Callithrix jacchus: one gene and its partner. The protein of the gene in region 2 interacts with the protein of the main gene of each other region in a biochemical or structural test. Links are inferred from orthologs where the notes say so. Each region holds a gene or a part of one and is shown on either strand. Other genes may lie near its edges.

Region 1 (9,727 bases), on a different chromosome or scaffold from region 2:
GCGCATTTCTCAAACGAAAACTCGTCCATGCTATCATCGGCTCTCTCAAGGATAATAGACCACAGGGCTGGTGTCTAAGTGACACTTACCTGAAGTGTGCTATGAATGCACGAGAGGAAAATCCATGGGTTCCAGATGACACCTACTATTGCAGATTGATTGGCAGACTAGTCGATAATATCCTTTCTACTCTGATTTTACAGACTCTCCAGAAATAACAGTATTTTGATTTATGAGAACGTATTTTTCTTTTTAAGGTAATTTTTTATATATTCCAAGGTTTTACTTTTTTTTTTAAGATCACTTCCCTTTTTATCTCTCTAAAGGTTTGAAATCTTAAATTAGCAGCATCATGCCAGATAGGCTGAAATTCTTTTAAAATTTATATTTTAGAACTTGAGGATAAGTGGTTAAAAATTATATTTAAAAATAGACTTTATGGAGATTTGTTTCAAAGAAAAAAATTTATTCTTAAATGAACTCTATTTTGTAGCACATGCATCTGTGTGCTACTGGAGAATGTAGCATCTTGTTACTTTAAAAAAGTATGTTTTTATTAAATAATAAACGATAAAACATTTTTCTTTTTTTAGTGAAAAGGGATATTTTAGTGAAAATATACTTGTATGTTTCTTCATTTTGATTTTATGTTTTCATTTATTAGCATCTATACTTCATACCACCATTTTACTATGTAGAGAAATTCTACGTAAATGAGTGTGACTTGTTTTCCTACATAAAGGAATTTATTTTCTGAAGCAAAAGAAGAGCTCATTATAAAATAATGTTCATATTAATGTCTTATAACTTTTAGAAGAAATAGGCTCATGAAGTCTAGGTATACCTTGATTGCATCTGTGGCTATTATACATCACATTTATAAGAACCCACCTGTAAGACCAACCATTTATACTTGTGGTTAATTAAATGATTGCTCTTAATACATTTCAATCATGTCAGTGTTATTGCTTTAACTGTGTGCACCAATGGCTGGCAAATCTCCTGGTCCCTTTCCAAACTGTGACTGGAGATTCAATGAGTTTCCCAACCCAGCTGCCCACGCTCTCCATGTTACATGTGTGGAGCTCATGGCCTTGGCAGTTTCAGGCAAAGAGGTCGGGAATGCCCTTCTAAATGTTGTCCTGAAAAGGTATGTATTCTGGTTCATGCAGTAAGATTTGTTGTTTATTTGTAAACAGAATGGTGTTTTATTTGGACCTTTAAGACAGACCTGTTGCCACAAGGCTGTTGAACATTGGATGATGACTGTTTTCTGGTTCCAGATCTTGTCTTTGTGATATAGGAGTTATGGAATGAGCCCTGGATAGGATCATTAAGATCTGGGTTTGTTCCTACTTCTACTCATTAATAGCAGTTTGACATTTAGTTTAGGATTAATGTTAACTTGTCACTTAAAACAAGATTCTCTTAATCTTGTTTTCAAGATTTCAAGAATCTCTTAAAAACTAGCACAAAATATTGGATAATGATTGGGGAAGAAGTATTTTTAAAGAGCCTTATTGAGTTTCTATGTATATTACATTTTTATTCAATAAAAAATTCCCCATTGTTTTATTGAAATTGATTAGTTTTCAATCCTCTGAATTATACATATTCTTTAAAACTAAGATCCATTGTCAACCATCTAAAATGTTTTTATAATTTCATACTTGTGTTCTTTTTTGCTGGTTGCAGTCAGCCTTTAGTGCCAAGAGAGAACATTACAGCATGGATGAATGCAATTGGTTTGATCATCACTGCCTTACCAGTGAGTTAATAATTGTGATTTGTACTTACTGATGAAATACAGCCCCTTGTTCCATGTCAGCAAAAAGAAAAAGATGCATATAGGATGCCCTGGTACAAGGACGTCAAACAAATTAATGAAGTATTTTATGTTTTTAAAGTTTTTCATATTATTACTGCTTTAAAAATTTACAGTGACTAGTTTTTGCCTTTCTGTATTAGATCTAAATACCTCTGCATAACTTACATGTCTCTGCATTTTCTGGTACCACCTTACCTATCCAACTTTAGTTTTTACATTATAACCTGATCTACTCTTGGCCACTTAATATGTTGTGTATCTACAGCCTTTGTTCTTGCAGATGGTACTTATTAAGACATGTTTTAGGTACTTCCGAATGTGAGTGAATAAGACATTATTTTTATTCCAGAACCTTCTTCTTTCCATCACCTTCTCTAAAGCCTATTTATTCTTTGCTAGCTTAGAGCCTCCTTTCTTAGTGAATGAAGCCTTACCTGACTTTTCCAGCCCACATGAAGACTCCCTTCTCTGACCTCCACACATATCTAAAAAAAAGTTTATTATTATAAAATAAGCAATAAAACTATTGATTTATTGTTTGGTAAGTTAATTGATTTACTGCATAGTATATATCAGGTACCTAAATGAGCTGGACAGATAAATGTATGGAGCCCCCTAACTCACAGGCACTTCTCCCAGGTTGTTACTGACTTAATTTGCCCAGTTACAAAGTCATCCAACAGATTTCCAGCAGAAGCTGGAAAAGTAGAAAACTTTAAAGACTGAGAAAACACTATTATTTTAGTCTTTGTGATAGAATGCTAGATAAGTGATTTTTTCACTAGCTTTCCTCCAATTTTAAAGGAGCCATACTGGATTGTTCTTCATGATCGAATTGTGAGTGTTATCAGCAGCCCCAGCTTGACATCTGAAACAGAGTGGGTTGGCTATCCATTCCGCCTCTTTGATTTCACTGCCTGTCATCAGTCCTACTCTGAGATGAGCTGTAGCTATACATTAGCTCTCGCACATGCTGTGTGGCACCATTCTAGCATTGGACAACTTTCTCTCATTCCAAAGTAAGTGTAATAATTTCTTAAAGAAATTTGACATATTTCATTTTTTTCAATCTCATTAACAGATGAGGTATATACCTCATTCATTAGAACAATTTGCAAAGTAAGTTCATCAGAAAGCTCCTTTTGCTTCAGAATTGTTTTCTGAAAAATTGACTTGTATATGCTAGTAATAATCTAGTAATGTAGTTTTTCCACTGTAGTTTGAAGAGGCTTAGTCAAATGCATACCTTTTCCAGAATGTATCCCGAAAGTTACCTTTTAAACTGAATAACTGCTATTATCCTATTTCCTGATTATTTTTCTTGACCATAAAAGTGGTATTAATTGATTGAAATTTCTATATCGTGGCATTTATTAGATTATTCTCTTTTTATTTCAGATAAATCAGTAGTTTTACTGTAAAGAATGATTTAAATCCGGTATTTCAATAAATAATCAAATGAAAGTAATAGCCAGTAAGAGATGTGAGATTAATTAGAAATATTATTGTTACAGAATTAAAAGAAACTTTTAAAATTAAAAGTTTTGTTGTAATACTTTATAAATACTATATTAACAAAATTCAAACAATTTAAATAATTTCAAGTTACAGGAGATTTTTATTTTTATCTTCAAATTTTAGGTTTCTCACGGAAGTACTTCTTCCTATAGTGAAGACTGAATTCCAGTTGCTTTATGTTTACCATCTTGTAGGACCATTTTTACAAAGATTTCAGCAAGAGAGAACTCGTTGTATGATAGAGGTAAAATATAGTCTGGGTTTTCTGTGACATGATTAAATTCTGAATTATCTATTTAGGTTTCTTTGCATTATTGGAACCTCAGGTCACAACCATTAGAAGTGAAACTAGTTTAACAAGATCCAAGAGCGATTGTAGAGGACTTAGTATGCCAGTAATTATGTGGGGTGGGATGTATTGAATTGGATATGCAGGGGAAATACCCATCATGAAGGCTGAGAAGAGGTTAAGGATGGAGAAGTACATTTGAGATCTTACAGTGCAGAGGAACTAATGAAAATCATGAGAATGGATGATATCAGTCACTTATAACAAGATGTCAAAAACAAGGAAAGGAGCCAGGAATAGAACCTTAAGGCAAGAGCTACCAAATGGAACAAAGAAAGTATAATCCAAAGGATCCCTAGAAGTAGAGTTTACCCAGACATCGAGATATGGTGTCTAGAAAGGAATTGTTTATCTCTTAATTTCAAGAGAAATTACTAAACTATGAAGAGATATTTTATTTAAGCCTTATTAGGGGCATTTTATAGCACTACAGATTGTTTTATAAATGCAGGTCACATTGTATCTCCCAAGTGCATAGAGGTGTATATATGGCATGTGACAGTTCTACAGCAAACACAGTATCTGCCGGTGCTAGTGCTATAATGGTGCCCATCTGCATCATGCTGAATTATTGAATCACTTCACTTTCGACCACTTAAATAATTTTACATTATTTGTAAACAGATTGGTGTGGCGTTTTATGACATGCTGCTGAATGTCGACCAGTGTAGCACCCATTTAAATTACATGGATCCCATCTGTGACTTCCTGTATCACATGAAGTATATGTTTACTGGTGATAGTGTGAAAGAGCAAGTAAGCTGAATTTCTTTAATTCTTTTTAATGATGCTGGATTTGGAAAATTTGAACATATAGTGATAGACTTTTTTGATTTGGGTGATTATTTTTGTCTTTTTTTTTTTTTTTTAAGGAAAAAGGGTGGGTATGAGACCTTTTTAGGCAACAGGGGCGTATTATTCTAGATGACATACTAAAGTAAATACAAGTTATAATTTCTCATCCTTTTCTCTCTTGATATTTGCAACAGAACATCTAAAAAAAAAAGATGTAGAGGGTTAGTTAATGGTAATCTCATTGGGGAGAAACAGTGGGATATGGCTGCTGAAGTATGAGCAGAGAGGTTGCTGTGTTCTGAGTAAAGGAGGTCCTACTTCTCCTGACACTTACGGTGACAAACTGCGGCTTAACTAGAAGACTAAACTCAGGATTCCAGACTAAACCTGACTAGAGACTAACTCATGAAGAGTATTTAAAGCATATGGGAATGCTGACCCTGAAAAAAAAAGTCTTAGGGAATTATTGATGACCTCAGTCTTTGGAAAGGTTTCCGTTTGGAAAGAGAGGCCATGCTGACATAGCATATGAAGAGGAACTTCCTAATAGAGATGCCTGAAAGTAGAAAAAGACCTTGAATCATAACTGAGTTCCTATGTGTAGGAAACAGAATCTGGGCTATTTTAAAGGGGTGGAGGTAGGACAGACAGGGAAAGTTAAGTCCATCCTCTTCCACTTCCCAATACTTTAATGTTATTTCCTTCTATAATGGAGAGGAAGATAAACTGCTGTGTAGCCATATGAGTCTAGTCTAAGGCTTCTTTCTTTGGAGCTGGAGTTGGGAGGATGTTGACTCCTTATGTCTCAGCAGCAGTGTCAAAGAGAGTTAACCTGTTCTCCCTCATGTAAGAAAGAAATTGTATCTGCTTTTGTTACAACACAGAACATTCAGAAAACCTGTGAAGAAACGTTTTTGTTTTTTTTGTTTGTTTGTTTTTAGTTCTTAGAGTATTCTTTACATTTGAGCCTAAGTTTGACTCAAGGGAGTACAGAAAGGAAAAGGTCAAACAGCCTTTGAGTAAAGCTAAGAAAGCTGTGGAACTACTTGATGTATTTGTCTCTTTAGTGTTTTTCAAAAGAGTAGATCTAATATTATTTATTTTGAATTCCAAGTATAAATCAAACCTAAAATAATTAGCTTTGTAGATGAATGTTGCAGACATGAGTTATTCAAAGAACTTTAAAATATAATTAATGCTTCATGCTTCTGTAAAGATAGCATTTTAAAAAATGATCAACTCGTTGGATGTATAAAATTTCCAGTATAAACTCTGCTAGCTTTTGGTAGCAGGATGACTGGCTAGCTAGATAAATGGATATGCTTTTGTAAGTATATGCATATATTTGACTATACATGTGGTACATGTACAGACATGCATATGTAACATATAATGGGTGTGTGTGAGGGAGAACATGTTGTTTCTCATGCAAGAAAGATATAATTGTATCTGCTTTTCTTAAAACACAGAACATGTTGAGAAACTTCTCATCTACCCCACGCCGCTCCTTAGTTTATTGTCTCAGGATATATGTAAGTCTTGCTTTAAATGTGAGAAGTTGAAATTCTCTGATTAAAGTACTTTTTAATGTGTTTTTATTTCTTAGGTGGAGAAGATTATCTGTAACTTAAAACCAGCTTTGAAACTTCGTCTTCGATTCATCACACACATTAGCAAGATGGAGCCAGTTGCAGTGCCTCCACAAGCCATCAACAGTGGGTCTCCAGCACCTCAGTCTAATCAGGTGCCAGTGTCTCTACCAGTAACTCAGTGAAGCCAGACTCTACTATGGAGAAAGTGGAAATGCATCCATCTTTGAGAGTGGACTCAAACCTATTAAATCTGAATGCTGTCATGCTATAGTGATAATAGTAGAAGCAGTGATGATGTTCAGATTGTTTTATTTTGATTCAGATGATGAATCTGTTGACACCTTATAACACCCATCTCCCTAACTATATTTTTGTCTCTAAGAGATCAAGATTCATGTTGTTCATATTCATAACAACTTATTAGAGCTACGTAGGAACATAGAGGTATCTGTGATCAAGTGACTTTGTCATTGGCACTTTCAGTCTTTTCTAGCTGTTGCTTTTGTTTGTATTTTTTTATTAATAACGTATTTAGTGTTCAGATATATTATTTTAAAGGCACCACACATGTAAAACAGTTATTACAAATCCTTTTATACGTAAATCTCTTTTGGTAGATCTTTAGAATAATAGAGATTTTTATCAAGAAAAAAAATCTGCACTTTGTTGCATTGTAGGAACAAACAAGGCTTCATATTCTTTTTTAAATGACTTGAAATTTTATTATAAATTTCCATTGTTTCTATCAAGGTCAGTTGGCAGTTTTATTACCTTTGCTATGGACTCAAACTTACTGTATAAAATGAGCTGAAAGCCATGTAAAAAAATAACATCTGAAAATTCTTAAACTTAAATAAAACTATGCTTAAATGGTTGATTCTCCAATTTCTTTTTTTAAAAATAAGTTAATTGCTTTTGCAGGTTGACGCTCTCACCTGACAGATGATATAATTCTTCAAATTCTTATAATCTTAAAATTTTTAAATTTTTATAAAGTACACATTTTATTTCTTCAGAATATCTTAGATTTTGAGAGACATTGTTAATTTGGGGGCAATTGGCATTGTGAGAGACTTGAAAACTAATGAGTAAAATCTGCTGAATGAATAAACCGCGTGACTGTTTCATGACTCCATTGGAATGAGTGTCTGCTGTATGCCAGGTGGTGTGTTGGCTAGGTTCAGTTGGAAATGGGGTACTCTATGGGTCATACACTACAGGTGGTGACTGATGTTGGCCTACGAATTAAGAGTTACAGATTCTTTTAAAAAGAGCTAGTGAATTTAACCAACTGTACTTCAAATTCATGTTTCTAAATACATTCCCCCTAGAACTTTATTTTCTTTGTAGCTCATGTTATTGCCATCACTAAATCATTACTGGCCATGCAAGTCTAGCTAAAAATATATGTAATGGTAAAAATAATTTTTGCAGACTCAATTCTTAAAATTACCTAGAAAAAAATGCTAGAAATTATTTCAAGTTATTAATCTTAACATGGTGTCAATATATTCGTGCTGCCTTGAGGAATATATTACTTTTTGATCCTAGAATGAGAATAAAATTGTGACACTAGTGTTGTACAAACAGAATAGAGGAAGTGAAAATCAATATAATCACTTTCTCAAGGATATAAACATTCTAATTTATTAAAAATTTAGTTTTCCCTCTCTAGTTTAAAAACATGGGATAGATTTTTAAATAGGTTTTTAAGCAGAGACTAAGGGAAGACAAACTTTATTTGGGTCTACAATACTGCTGATGGGAAAAATATGCCTTTATATTTATCACATCCTGAAAGTTTTTCTTTTTGAAAATAGTTTAGAGTGGCCCTGTCTGCAATGATGCAATGTTCTGCATTGATGCAGATGACTTTCTGCAATGATGCAAATGTTCTATACCTGTGCTATTCAATACACTAGTTAGTAGCTGCATTTATCTGTGAAGTATTTGAAATATGGATCTGAATTTTTAAATTTTACTAAGTTTTAATTTGACCATATGTGGCTGCTGTATTAGATAATATATCCTAGAGTGAGGTCCTTTATAATTGTTCCCATCTAGAAGTAATTCAATAAAATGTTTATCTTTTAAAGGCCCAGTAGTTAAAGGTAACAGTTTTTAAATTCTGTGTTACATTTGAAAAATCAGATTGTAGGGGCTGTTTTATCATATAGCTGTTAAAAACACAGAAGAAATTCATTCATGAAGCCTACCTTATTTACAGAACCGCCTGGGGTTTTTACAAAAATTACTGGGAAGAGAAAAACTTTGCTTCCCTTGTTTTGATTGCAATTTACCATGGTTTGTTTTTTCCATTTTCCTTACTACATTCCAGAGCCAAGATGAGTTTTTAGGATATAGCTGATGGTACTGTAATTGCAGGGTGAGTGAAGGGTGAAACATTGGAAGCCACAGGTAATTTTAGATGACATCCTCAGCTGAATCAGTCATTCTTAAAAACAAACTAGCAATATGATTTATCTGGCTCCTGAATAGATTTTTGGAAGCATCTTTTTTTTTGTTTCCCAAAGTCTCACTCTTGCCCAGGCTGGAGTGCAGTGGCGTCATCTCATCTTACTGCAACTTCTGTCTCCTGGGCTTAAGTAGTACTCCCACCTTAGCCTGCTGAGTAGCTGGGACTATAGGTGCTCACCACCACGCCCAGCTAGTGTGTGTGTGTGTGTGTGTGTGTGTGTGTGTGTTGCATGTATTCAGAAATACATAGACTGTGCAATCTTGTTATAAAGAGTTTATTATAAAAAAAAATCACATCTTTTGAATGACATGGACACATAGTACCTTTCCAGATGGGGTAGCTTTGTCTCCTGATTCCAGGAGTCCCACTCAGTGTATGGGGGCTTTTGTTAAGTGCGCTTATTTTTAATACCAGCAATTTTTAAATTGTAAATCAATGCATACTTCTCTTTCTAAGGAAAAGCCTTTTGCCAAGTTAGAAAATAATAGCTTTTAAATTTCAAAAAAGTTAAGAATTTCCACATCTTTAGTTTTACACCAAGAGGGAATTTGTGGAGTTTATGCTAATTGGAAAAACATTTTTCTGAAAGAACAAATCTTTAGAAGGATAACTATGCTTAAGTAAGTTATTAGATTTGATAATTATGCCATTAGCTATAAGATTTGTATTGGCTGTTTCTACATTTACTTAGGTGGGTTAAGGTAATCAATAGGCTTGTGATTACCCTCACGAGCAACTCCAAAACAAGCCAAGGTTATTGCTACTGCTGTGTTCACTGTTCGAATTACTTCTTCAGGTGTCTTCCCCAGGGATGGGTTCACTTCCATTATATCTAATCCTGAGAGTAGCCCTGCAACAACAAATTGTAATAATGTAATTTATAAAATAGTTGACATTTTGAAATTAGTACAGACAGACTTGAAAGATTATCTGCTAACAGAAAATGGTAGTAACCAAGAGAAAACACTTTAGCTATTGCATCATGTGGTTGGTGGACATTCTAGAAGTGTCAACTGGGACTTGGTTTTCAGGTCAAGAGGTATAAATATATATTAGCCATGTGTACACTTGCTTCTTTATTCCCTCAGATTGTTACCTACCTGTTTTGTAGATTTCTTCTGTGATGTAGAGACCTTCTCTGTATGACAGACCTCCCACGACTGGGG
Region 2 (11,502 bases):
TGGATGCCAAGAGGCAGAAAAAGGCATGGGAAGGGGAACATGTCTGATAGGAGAGACCCCCTCAGGCTCCACCCCCGAGAGGGCTCTCAACACCGGGATGAGGGAGAAGGGGCACCATAGCAGAGCAGGCTGTGCCTGAGGCCAGGGATTCTGGATAAATGGCCAATATCACAGGAGGGGCATGTTTGGCAACCTTTGCAAGTCTTGAATGCCCCTCGGAGAGAAGGGAACTTTATCTTGGAGCACTGGGGAGCTATGCATGGTTGGAGAGCAGGGGAGTTCCATGCTGGGACCTGGACAGTGAACAGTTAGAGCTATGTTTTCCAAGGCATCCAGGTGCTTGGTAGGACTGGGAAGGGAACTGGGACATGAGATTTCTGGGGACAGGTATGGGGTGGCAGAGCGGGCCCCCACTGTGTCCTACCAGGGCTGGCCTGGACCCAGGAAACAGCCAGACACATGACTGGAAGCCAGGCTCTGTGGTGGCTGGGCTGGGCATGCTGGGAGGGACATCAGGGCTGGAGAACTCTGAGGATGCACTGCTTAGGTCAAGGTGACGCCCAGAAGAGCTTCCCAGGAAGCAGCGTCTGATGGGGGTTGGCAGAAATCTGGGGTCTGACAAAGAGCAGACATGACGGGGTCCAGGTAGAGGAAAGAGACCCTGAGGCCCCCTTCTAGGCCCTCAGCCAGAGCTCTGTTTCCATCTGCCTCTTCTGCACTTAGAAGCTTGTGCAAAATCGGATGAATGAATCCTCAGCAGGGAGGTGAAGACTGCCACAGGCTTAATAATAATCCCCAATGCAGGCACAGGACTGCTCTCCCGATCCATCACTCCCCACTGCCGCAAGGTACTGTGAGGCCCAGGAGGAGACAGGTGAGCCTGAGGTCTTGGTGCAGAGGCAGGACTCAAACCCAGGGGCACTATAGCCAGGACAGTGCCTTCACCCACAGACGCAAGGGCTCTCCACTCCCAAATCCATCCACGTGACAAGCGTTTGGCCATGGCAGGCAGCAGGACAGAATGGGGCTCAAAACCCTTGGCTGGCTCCCCTGGGCCAGTTCCCAGTCTGATGACTCAAACGCTACTGTGGACTGGGATGGGGAGGTGGCCACATAACCTCTGACCCCTCTATGACCCACACTCCCAGGTCCCCACATAGCCCCACATGGAGCAGCCTCCCTCAACCCCTCATCCCCATTCTTAGGAGCTCAGTGATTAAGAGCTTAAGAGCTAGGTTCCGGAGCCCATGGCCTGGGTTTGAATCCTGGCTCTGCCATTATCTGGCTGTGTGACCTCAGGCAAGTCACTTAACCTCTCTGGTGCTCAAGGCTGTCATCTTCATCATATGTCTACCCACTTGGGGTTGTCGGGGGATTAAATAAGATCATCAGTAGTGTCTGGAGCACAGTAAGGACTCAATTAGTGTTTTCTGTTCACATTACGATCCTCCACCCAGGCAGCCAGAGGGAGCTGAAGCACAGCGCGCCCCTGCTCCGACTGCTGACTGACCCCCACATCTAGCCCAGCTCTGTACTCTGACAATCAAGGCTGGCCTGGCCTCCTCTTATCCCTCATGTCTCTCAAGAGACCTGGCATTTCCACCCCCAAATCACCTCTCTTCAGACCTTATCAAACCTGCTCAGCTCTATGCCTAGTAGAAGAAGCTTCGAAAGCAGGCTCAATCTCTGTCCAGCAATCCCCTCCCAGAATCTCATCCTAGAAACACAATGAGGACTGGGCAGAGACTGGCCTCGGTGTCCACTATAGCACAGTTTATGAAGATAAAACAACCCAGGTGTCCATCGACAGGGGATCAGGTGGGGAATTGAGGGAGCCTGATTGTCATCTAGCTGTTGACATGGAACCAAGCAGGTTCCAATCTTCTGTGAAACTATGGACCCTATTTTAATTTTTTTTTTTTTTGAGACAGAGTTTCGCTCTCGTTACCCAGGCTGGAGTGCAATGGCACGATCTCGGCTCACCGCAACCTCCGCCTCCTGGGTTCAGGCAATTCTCCTGCCTCAGCCTCCTGAGTAGCTGGGACTACAGGCACGCGCCACCATGCCCAGCTAATTTTTTGTATTTTTAGTAGAGACGGGGTTTCACCATGTTGACCAGGATGGTTTAGATCTGTTGACCTCGTGATCCACCCGTCTCGGCCTCCCAAAGTGCTGGGATTACAGGCGTGAGCCACCGCGCCCGCCCCCTATTTTAATTTATAAAAGTACAGATCCATAGCTGCCTGGGCCAGGAGCAAGAGCAGGAGGTGACTAAAGGAGCAGGAGGGAATTTACTGGGCGATAAAAATGTTCTACAGCTAGTAATGGTCACACAACGCAGAAAACTACAAATCACTGAATGACACACTTAATATGGATAGATATTGTGGTATGTAAAGTATACCTCAATCAAGTTGTTTTTAAAAAGCTGATGAAGGCTGGTGTGGTGGCTCACACCTGTAATCCCAGCACTTTCAGAGGCTGAGGCGGGCAGATCACCTGAGCTCAGGACTTTGAGACCAGCCTGGCCAACACGGTGAAACCCCGTCTCTACTAAAAATACAAAAATTAACCAGGCACAGTGGTGCACAACTGTAATCCCAGCTACCTGGCAGCTGGAGAATCTCTTGAACCTGGGTGGCGGAGGCTGCAGTGAGGTGAGATCATGCCACTGCACTCTAGCCTGGGCAAAAGAGTGAGACCCTGTCTCAAAAAAAAAAAAAGGTTTATGAAGAGTGTGTAGCCATCCCAAACCAAAAAGAGAGAGAGAGAGACAGAGAAGAAAAGCTCTTTCACATAATTAGCAGGGCTTATCTCTGGGTGATAGCTTTAAAGTTTTATTTGAGACAGAATCTCACTGTCACCCAGGCTGCGTGCAGTGGCGCAGTTACAGCTCACTGCAGCTCCAGCTTCAAGCAGTCCTCCCACTTCAGCCTCCAGCATGGCTGAGACTACAAACATGTGTTACCCACACCCAGCTAATTTTTTTATTTTTGTAGAGACAGGATCTTGTCATGTGGCCGAGGCTGGTCTCAAATTTCTGGATAAAAGTAGTCCTCCTGCTTCAACCTCCTAAAGTGCTGGGATTATAGGCGTGAGCCACCACACCTGGTCTAAAGGTTTTAGTTTCTTCTTTTTGCTCACTTGCACTTGCTAATTGTTCTACAATGAAAAAAGATGTGTAATTGGGGCTGGGCACGGTGGCTCACACCTGTAATTCCAGCACTTTGGGAGACCGAGGTGGGTGGATCACGAGGTTAAGAGATCGAGACCATCCTGGTCAACATGGTGAAATCCCAGCTCTACTAAAAATACAAAAAATTAGCTGGGCATGGTGGCACATGCCTGTAATATCAGCTACTTGGGAGGCTGAGGCAGGAAAATTGCCTGAACCCAGGAGGCGGAGGTTGCAGTGAGCCAAGATCGCGTCATTGCACTCCAGCCTGGGTAACAAGAGTGAAACTCCGACTCAAAAAACAAAACAAAACAAATAATAAAAAAAAAATATGTTTAATTGGAAAGAACAGGAAGTTTGAATAAAAACTGAAAAATCCTCTACTGAACTGGGTAAAGCTGGGCCTGCCTAGTGAGAAGGGGCTGCCGAATCTTCAAGGCACTGGGGCTCTCTCACAGACTAGAACTTGGGCCACATGGCTGCCCATGCCTGGCCTTTGGATCTGGAGAGACAGTGTTTTTATCCATGAGTCAGTAAGAAAGGTCTGTATCAGACCTGTGGCCCAGACCGGATTCTGCTGTCCAGCTGCCCATGAAGGGAGGGTTTGTATCCTCATTCTTCTGGAGGTGGAAACTAAGGTTCAGAGAGTGAGAGGGCTTGAGCAGGATGGCAGAGGAAGTGAGGAGCATCCAGGTTCAAGTTCTGACCCCAAAGCCCATGTCCGGCTGGCTTGGTCCTGCTGCCTCTTGGACTACCCTCACTGGGCCCTGTGCTATGGAACTAGTTAAGTCAGGCCTAGATCTCCCTAGGGCTTGGGATTTCAGGGTCCACCTTTCCAGGATGCAGTGAAGGACAACCCCTCCTGCCAGGTGTAGGGGAGGCTGTTTTGGAAAAGCCTCAAAATCAGGGCCTCTCCTCTTGGGTCCTCCCCTAGCCAAGCCCCAGAGGGAAGGAGGAAGGGCTGGGAAGCTCCTGGAGCTGGCAGCCAGCTGAGCTCATCTGCAAGGCTGCAGTAGGGCAGGAGTGGGGGTGGCATAGATACATCTGTTTTGCCAGCCCCAGGGTGGCCACAGGTTCCACGGACATGTCCATTCAGGTTGTGAGTCTAGGCATCTTCTTCCTGCAACCTCGTCCTCAGTTTCCTCATCAACCAAGTGCAACTTAGCCCATGTTGCTAAAGCTCCTGCACGGAAACCATGGAGGAAATTTGCTGGGACTTTCCTTTGCTGTCTGCAAAATGGAAGCAACGGGCCTCCTAACTGGCACTTAGTGCCACCGTTGGCCCCAAACCCCGTCCCCTGACAGCCAGTGTGGTGCTCCAAAGATGGAAGCAGGTGCCGCGGTCCTGCTCCGCCCCTTCCCTGGCCGAGTAAGGCTGCTGGCGTCCTCTCCCTCCGCAACCTTTACGAGCCTTTAACTCCTCACACTTAGGCCCTGCCTCGGGGCCTTCGCCCTTCCCTCGCCCTGGCCTGGAAAACATCTTTCCCTGCTAGTCCTGGGGGTGGCCCTCAGGTCTCAGCTCAGAAGTCCCTGACGCTCTACCCAAAGTAGCCACCTACCTGCCCTCCCCTCGCCCCGCTCCACCCAACGTGCAACTAAATATCTATTTGCTGGTTTCCCGGGGGATGGTGTTCCCGAAAAGAGCGGGTGCCCAGGACTGTCTGTGATCCCTCGGTGCTTAAGACGGGGCCTGGCATTCGGTTAGTGAATGAGTGCGGAGGCGATGCCGGTAGAAGACCGGGGAAACCCGACCCGTGGCCGGGCAAGTGGGCGAGCAGCGCCCGTGCGCTTGCGCACGAGCTCCGACGCCCAGCTGAACTCTCGGGCCGGAGGGAATGACCGTGAGTAACCTCTCATTGACGTCACGGCTGGGGCTGGGGCGGGGCTTCGACGACGCCCGGGTCCCCAGCTCCAGCCGCGGCCGCCACAGGGCTGGAGACTCACCCACCGGTCGGGCGGTACCCGGCCTGGGACGCGTAGAGGCGCACGTGTCCCGGCCCGGAGCCGCCAAGGGACACCGGCCCGGCCCGGGAGTCCTCGCCGAGCGCGCGGCTCGAAACGCCAGGGCGGGAGCCAGGAAGGCTCGGCGAGGCCCGGGACACCGAGGTCCACGGCGCGCAGCTCAGCACGAAGCTGGCGCCCGGGGAGGGGGGAGACAAAGGCCAGGGAGCCACCTGCGCGCCCCCCACTCGCGCCACCCGGCGCGGCTTCAAGCCCTGCCCACCCTGACGCACCTTCGATGTCGGTCAGCAGCGCCGCGTCCAGATCGCACGGCTCGCTCAACGCCTGCTCCAAAACCGCCTCGCTGAAGGGCAGCTCGTCCATGGCGCAGCCGCCTCCTCCGGGAGGCCCGCCGGGCCCGCCGCCGCGCACGGCCCTTCTGAGGGACTGCCGCCGGTCCCGGCTCGCAGCTTCCGCCGCCGCTCCACGCGTTCGTGTCCTGCCCTGGCCTCGCAGGAGGTCCGGCGCCCGCGAAAAGTTCCTCGGAAACTGGGTTCCCGCGGCAGCGGCTCCGCTGGGCGGTGAAGGAGGAGGCGGGGCCTTTCGGGGGAGGCCCCGCCCTCCCAGATAGACGGCCCCGCCCCACCTTGAGAGAGCGGGTACCCCTGATCCCCAGTCTGCGCCACAAATCTGCCCTCAGCGGGCCCCTCCTCCAGAGCGCCCTCCAGTCATTCATTTTGTCCAGCCTCGCGCACCGTGGCAGAGCGGCCTCTGGCCGGCTGCTGCGGGAACGCGGGTAAACCAAGTCCTCTCTCTGGGCCTCGGTTTCTCCAGCACCAAGCAAGGAGCTGAGTGGAAGCCCCAGGCCTGGGCCCATCACAAACCAAAGCTTCCTCACTTCCTAGATTTCACTCTTGAGAACAACACAGACCAGGACCCAAGTTACAGGGGTCCCAGGTTTGCTGTGTTGTGAGCAGACCTGATGTAACTGCTGGGCCAGTTACATCACTCAGCTTCAGTTTCCCTCATTTGTAACGTGGGCCTCATGATGCTTCCTCACCGGCAGGCTGGGAGGCTAGTGACGATGTGGAGATCAGCCTGCCCTCTCTCCAAAGAAACCAGAAGATTGGCCACCTGAAGACAGGAGTGACTGAAGAAAGAGGCTGGAATTTCCTATCGTCGTCATCTGGTTTCGTCCCAGATCCAGCCCTAGGGATAGGACCCCAGCAGGCCCAGTGCCGCTCCTGACAGAGGAAGCGGGTACCCAAGGACGGCTGGCCCCAGGGCTGTCTGATCCCAAATTTGGTGCTTGTTCCTGGGAGTGGCCAAGACAGGGGCCACAAGGAAGAGTTGGCTGAGCTTTAGCTCAGAGCCAGGCTGCCCTGGACCATGACAGCTGGGACTAGGTCAGAGCAGACAGCCCTGATGAGAAGAGAGAAACCAAACCCAGTTCTGTGGCCTAGGGACAGAGCCAGGTGGAGCGGGAAGGAGGGAAGGGGTCCCAATGAGGTGGGTTGAAATAAACCAGAATTAACATTCAGTTATCTGAATGTGATAAGACAGTGAGCTCCCTGTCCCCAGAGGTATGCAAGCAGACAGAAGCACCCTTGGTGGAGGGCAGCCAAGGAAACTCACCAGGGCCTGGTCCTCAGGCCCTCTGGACCCTGGGCTTTAATGAGTCAAGCCATCCTGCAGACTGCCTTGCTCAGACTCCAGATATGGTCTGACCACACCCTAAGCAGGAGTAAAATTCCTGTGCATGTTAGAAGGGGTGTGTGGGGGAGAGAAGCCACAAAGCCAAGTCCCTGGGCTTGGACATGCAGCTCCCTTTGTTCCTCTCTCAGAAGTGGCTGCGATGGAAAATTACCCAGAACAGGAACGCCAGAGTTATGGGGGTCGCCAAACCACATCTCCTCAGCCACCCCTACTCAAGGATCCACACAGGACCCACTCCCTCCAGATGAACCACTGCTGGAGAACCCAGGGAATGAAGCTGGCATCTCAGTGCCCCACCCCCACCAATACTGGGGAGGGGGAACGCAGGAAGCTGGTGACTTCCCTGAAAATTTAAACAGCCCTTCCCAGGGAGAGGGGTGGGATGGGAAGTGCTCAGCCAAGCCTCAACTCTTTCTTCAGAGCTAGGCAGGTGACCTGGGTTTTCACCTGCTTGCTGTGTGACCTGGAACCACTTACCTCTCTTCTGAGTCTCAGCTACTGGATCTGTAAAATGGGACTAACCCTTCCTTCAGTCACTCTGCAGAGGCAGGTAGGGTGTTTCAGAGTCATCATCGCAACAGACTTGCCTCACTGTTTTTTGTTTGGTTTGGTTTCTTGTTTTGAGAGTCTCGCTCTATCACCCAGGCTGGAGTGCAGCAGCAGGATCTTGGCTCACTGTAACCTTCGCCTCCCACGTTCAAGAGATTCTCCTGTCTCAGCCTCCTGAGTAGCTGAAATTACGGGCTCACACCACCATACCTGGCTAATTTTTTTATTTTTCATAGAGACGGGGTTTCACCATATTGGTCAGGCTGGTCTTGAACTCCTGACCTCAGGTGATCCACCCACCTCAGCCTCCCAAAGTGCTGGGATTACAGGCCTGAGCTACCACGACCAACTATCCCTTTTTTTGGTGTCGTTGCTGTTTTTGAGACAGAGTCTCATTCTGTTGTCCAGGCTGGAGTGCAGTGGCGCAATTGCAGCTCACTGCAACCTCCACCTCCCGGGTTCAAGCAATTCTCTTGCCTCAGCCTCCAGAGTATATGGGATTACAGACATACACCACCACACCAGCTAATTTTTGTATTTTTAGTAGAGATGGGGTTTCATCACGTTGGCCAGGCTGCTTTCAAACTCCTGGCCTCCAGTAATCCGCCTGCACGGCTTTCCAAAGTACTGGGATTACAGCATTGTCCCCGACCGCCTCACCATTTTTTAAATGGGTTACCACATATGTAAATAGTATAGCTCAATAAATATGCACTCCATAACTGCAGGAGTTAGGAGAGAGGAGAAGAAGAGAAGACAAAGACAACAGGAGACCCGCAGCCCAGAAAATCCAACTGAAACCCCCATGGGCACAGTCCCACGTTGGGGTGGGAGGAATTTACATCTTTGCCACCAAAGAAACAAATCTTTGCCTCACAGCCTGGGATTACCAGGACAACTCTCAAGGTGAGGGTTGGGGAAGCCAGGAGAGGGGGTCCATTTTTCAGGGGAACAGGCTTGTCTTGGCGGCTCCTCCCTTCAAAAATCCTGAGACCTTGAAACAGGCCGCGCTTGGCTGGGGAACGTTGAGCACACCCGAGGAACGTGGACACAAGCCCTCTTCGGGTGTGCCTATCAGGGGTCAGGGATCCAGCCTGGTCCACGGTGACCCCAGACGGCGGGTTCTGCACTGTCTACAATCGCTGAGCGTTTACAGCGTGCCCAGTGCTCTTTAAACCCACTCCCTCCTCCCCACAGCCTCAGGCGGTTGAGGCTGTTACCATCCCATTTTACAGGTGAGCAGATTGAGGCACATGGAGCGGGGCAGTGAAGCGACTTGCCCAGGATCTCCCAGCACTGCTGCCCCTGATTTTGTCGGGGCTGGAGGCAGCGGGAGAGTCGGGCCAGCTCGGGTTGGCGCGCGGGCTAGGGCAGCGGCCGGAGACCCAGGGGAATCGGGGCGCCAAGCCAGACCAGCTCCGCCCCCCCCGGGCCCGGCGCAGCCAATGGGCGCCCGGCCGGGAGTGGGGTGACGCGGCGTCAGCGCGTAACTCCCGGGAACCCGGCCCTGGGTCACATGAGCTGCGCCCGCTCGACCCGGGAGGCTGGGGGGGCGGGGGGGGGCCGGCGCGGCGGGGACTGGCTGGGCTCATCCCCCAGGCCAGACACCTGGCCTGGACTGCCGCCAGGTGCGCGTCGCGGGCACCGGGCGGACTAACCTAGGACTGCCCCACTCGGGACTGCGTGGCGCTCCTAGAGCGGAGGATTCCGCCGAAGTCACTCAGCCCGGCCCCTGCCCGACCTCGGCTTTGCCAACTGGGAGATAGGGGTTCGCATCTCCCCACTTCCTCTCCAAGCCTCTTAGAGACTGGGAGGCAGCTTCTGTGGTTTCCGAGCCTTTTCGGGCAGGCGTCCAGCGCAGGCAGGGCCTCTTCCCAGGCCGCTGGTCCTGTCCAGCCATGCCCTTGGTGCCCGGAGCTCAGCGGTGGGTGGTAGGGCAGGCACTGGGCAGGAAGACCGGGTTGGCCACTCTCGCTATTGCCTAGGCTACTGAAACCTCTTCCCACTCCCAGAGCCTCCTGCCAACCTGCCTGGCCCTGCAGAGCCTTCACTGCTGTAGGAGCCAAGCTGGGTTATGTCTTTGCCACCAAGGAAACAAATCTTTGCCCCACAGGCTGGGCCCTGCCCAGATTATGGCCGAGGCATGAGGAGGAGGGAAGAGACTGCTCAGAGCCTGAGTCTCCCCTTCCCCTTCTCCATCTGTACATAATGGGGTGAGATGACTGTGGATGTGGAAGATTCTGGTCCTAGGTGACCCTCGTGGTCTCTTTCCCGCTTGAGCTCTGCGGTGAGCTGGGCAAGTTCTTTCCAGACCTCTCTGAGCCTCCATGGCCAGCTTTGCCCTGGAGGTTCACACTCATGTGGGCACCCATGAGTCACTGAACACGCCCTCCACGAAAGAGCTACTTGAACCCCAAAGATTGCTGCACGGTGAGAGGTAGCTCACAAAGACTGAGGAAGACTAATACCTCTTCCCTGGGGGGTAACTGGCTCTTTGGGGAGAGGCCAAGGGCATATTGAACTGGGTGAGTCCTGCTGACAGAAGAGAGAGTGAGGAAATCAATGTAATAAGGCCCCTGTGGGCACTGGGTTGACCACCCACTATACCAGTTTATGGAGCAGGGGAGTAAAGACCAGAGTGAGACAGTGACTTACTCAACACCTACAGTTAAGCCTGCCACCCCAGATAGGCATGGGGTGGACAGGGGGTGGCACCAGACAATGGAGTCCACTCCCTAGTGCTGAGAGTAGAGATTTTGCCTTCTTGGATGTTGAGAGTCTCGGCTTGGAGGCCCTGGACGGACTCCTCTGGGTTCTGCCCCAAAAGCTCTGACAGGGACTCCTCTAAAATAAACTGGCAGAATTTCTGGGTGGGTCATGCAAACCTATCCAGGGTCTCAGGTTCAGCCCTCCCCTCTCCCACCAGGACCCAAAGGAGCCCCTTTTCTTGAAAAAGAGGTGGGTTGGAAAAGAATCCCTCTTTCTCCTTTCATGGGCAGGTGCACTCTGAGCCATGGAGGAACCACAGTTCTCCATGCAGCCCCTCCCAGATCTCTGGGGATGGAAAACAGCTCTCCATCCAAGGGCTGAGGAGGGAAGACTGGGAGAGCCCAGGAGTTTGTCTGTGTCACTCCCATCTCTGGCCCTCTCTGTCCACATTGCAGTGACCATCTATTGATTGTACCTGGTTACGACTGGTGATGGTGGTGGTCCCAACATGGCCCCTGCCGTGACCACCTGCCTCCTATCAGTGGGTAGCGGAGCCCCTCCTGAGCCACCCTCCCAGAAGGGCTGCTGCTGAGGGTGCGTGGGGCAGCTTTATCTGCTGGCAATGGAATTAATGTCTTTCCTGCCCATCCATGGCCCTGTCTGGGAGGTCCAGCTCTGGCTGGGTTGGCTGCTGGTTCCGCCACTACTCCCTGTATAGCCTGGGGCAAGCCTACAGCTCTTTCTGGTCCTCCATGTCTTCACTGGCATAGTGAGAGGCTGGGCAGATCTCCAGGTTCACTGGGGGTTTGGTGAGTCCACCCCAACTTGAGGTCCATCCTTAAGCCCCAGCGAAGGGATGAAAGGGCCCTCGGCCTCCCAAGCCACCTGGAGAAGGCACAGGTCCCACAGGCTCCCACAATGCACCCTTCATGACTCCCTATGCCTCTGGGCCTGGGGGCCTGCTTCCGGGACAGCTGCCTTACAACAAAGGGCTGCAGGCGCCCACCTCCAGGACAAGGGGAGAGAGGGAAAGAAGCCTTTTTAGAAAGGCTTCTTCCTAAAGGCTGCGGGGATGGGAGGAGACAGATTTCTTTTGGTGGGGGATAAAGATGTCCTCTGTTTGTGGCGATGGTTGCCGAACCCTGCGAATATTCTAAAAACTACTTAATTGTACACTTTGAATGGGTAAATTGTTTGCTATGTGAATTATAGCTCAGTAGAGCTGTTAAAGTGTGAAGTCTACCTGGCTTGGAGCAGCAGTTCTCAAATCAGTGCCCAGCACAGGCTCTGCAGATGATGCCCATCCAAGTTGTGGGAGCCCAGCTGAGGGTGAGGGCTGAGTCTTAAAGGGGGTCGGGGGTGGCTCAGGCCTGGGTGCCTGGGCAAGGCTGAGTGGACTCCTTCCTGCCCAT

The links. The genes of interacting proteins can lie anywhere in the genome.
Region 1: the proteins of SREBF1 (region 2) and MED23 form a complex in vitro, tested with the Homo sapiens proteins (2 studies listed by BioGRID). The link is inferred for Callithrix jacchus from reciprocal best matches to the Homo sapiens genes SREBF1 and MED23.

The regions. Positions count from the first base shown.
Region 1 is NC_133505.1:138,225,771-138,235,497, reverse strand, and holds the end of MED23 (mediator of RNA polymerase II transcription subunit 23), read left to right. Parts: coding exon 1-177; intron 178-984; coding exon 985-1,150; intron 1,151-1,695; coding exon 1,696-1,768; intron 1,769-2,632; coding exon 2,633-2,847; intron 2,848-3,469; coding exon 3,470-3,590; intron 3,591-4,319; coding exon 4,320-4,451; intron 4,452-6,096; coding exon 6,097-6,264; 3' UTR 6,265-7,193; downstream 7,194-9,727. Other genes in the region: ARG1 (arginase-1), read right to left, coding at 9,245-9,411, 9,662-9,727. UniProt on the Homo sapiens protein: Required for transcriptional activation subsequent to the assembly of the pre-initiation complex. Component of the Mediator complex, a coactivator involved in the regulated transcription of nearly all RNA polymerase II-dependent genes.
Region 2 is NC_133506.1:69,308,568-69,320,069, reverse strand, and holds the start of SREBF1 (sterol regulatory element-binding protein 1), read right to left. Parts: upstream 5,668-11,502; 5' UTR 5,501-5,667; coding exon 5,410-5,500; intron 1-5,409.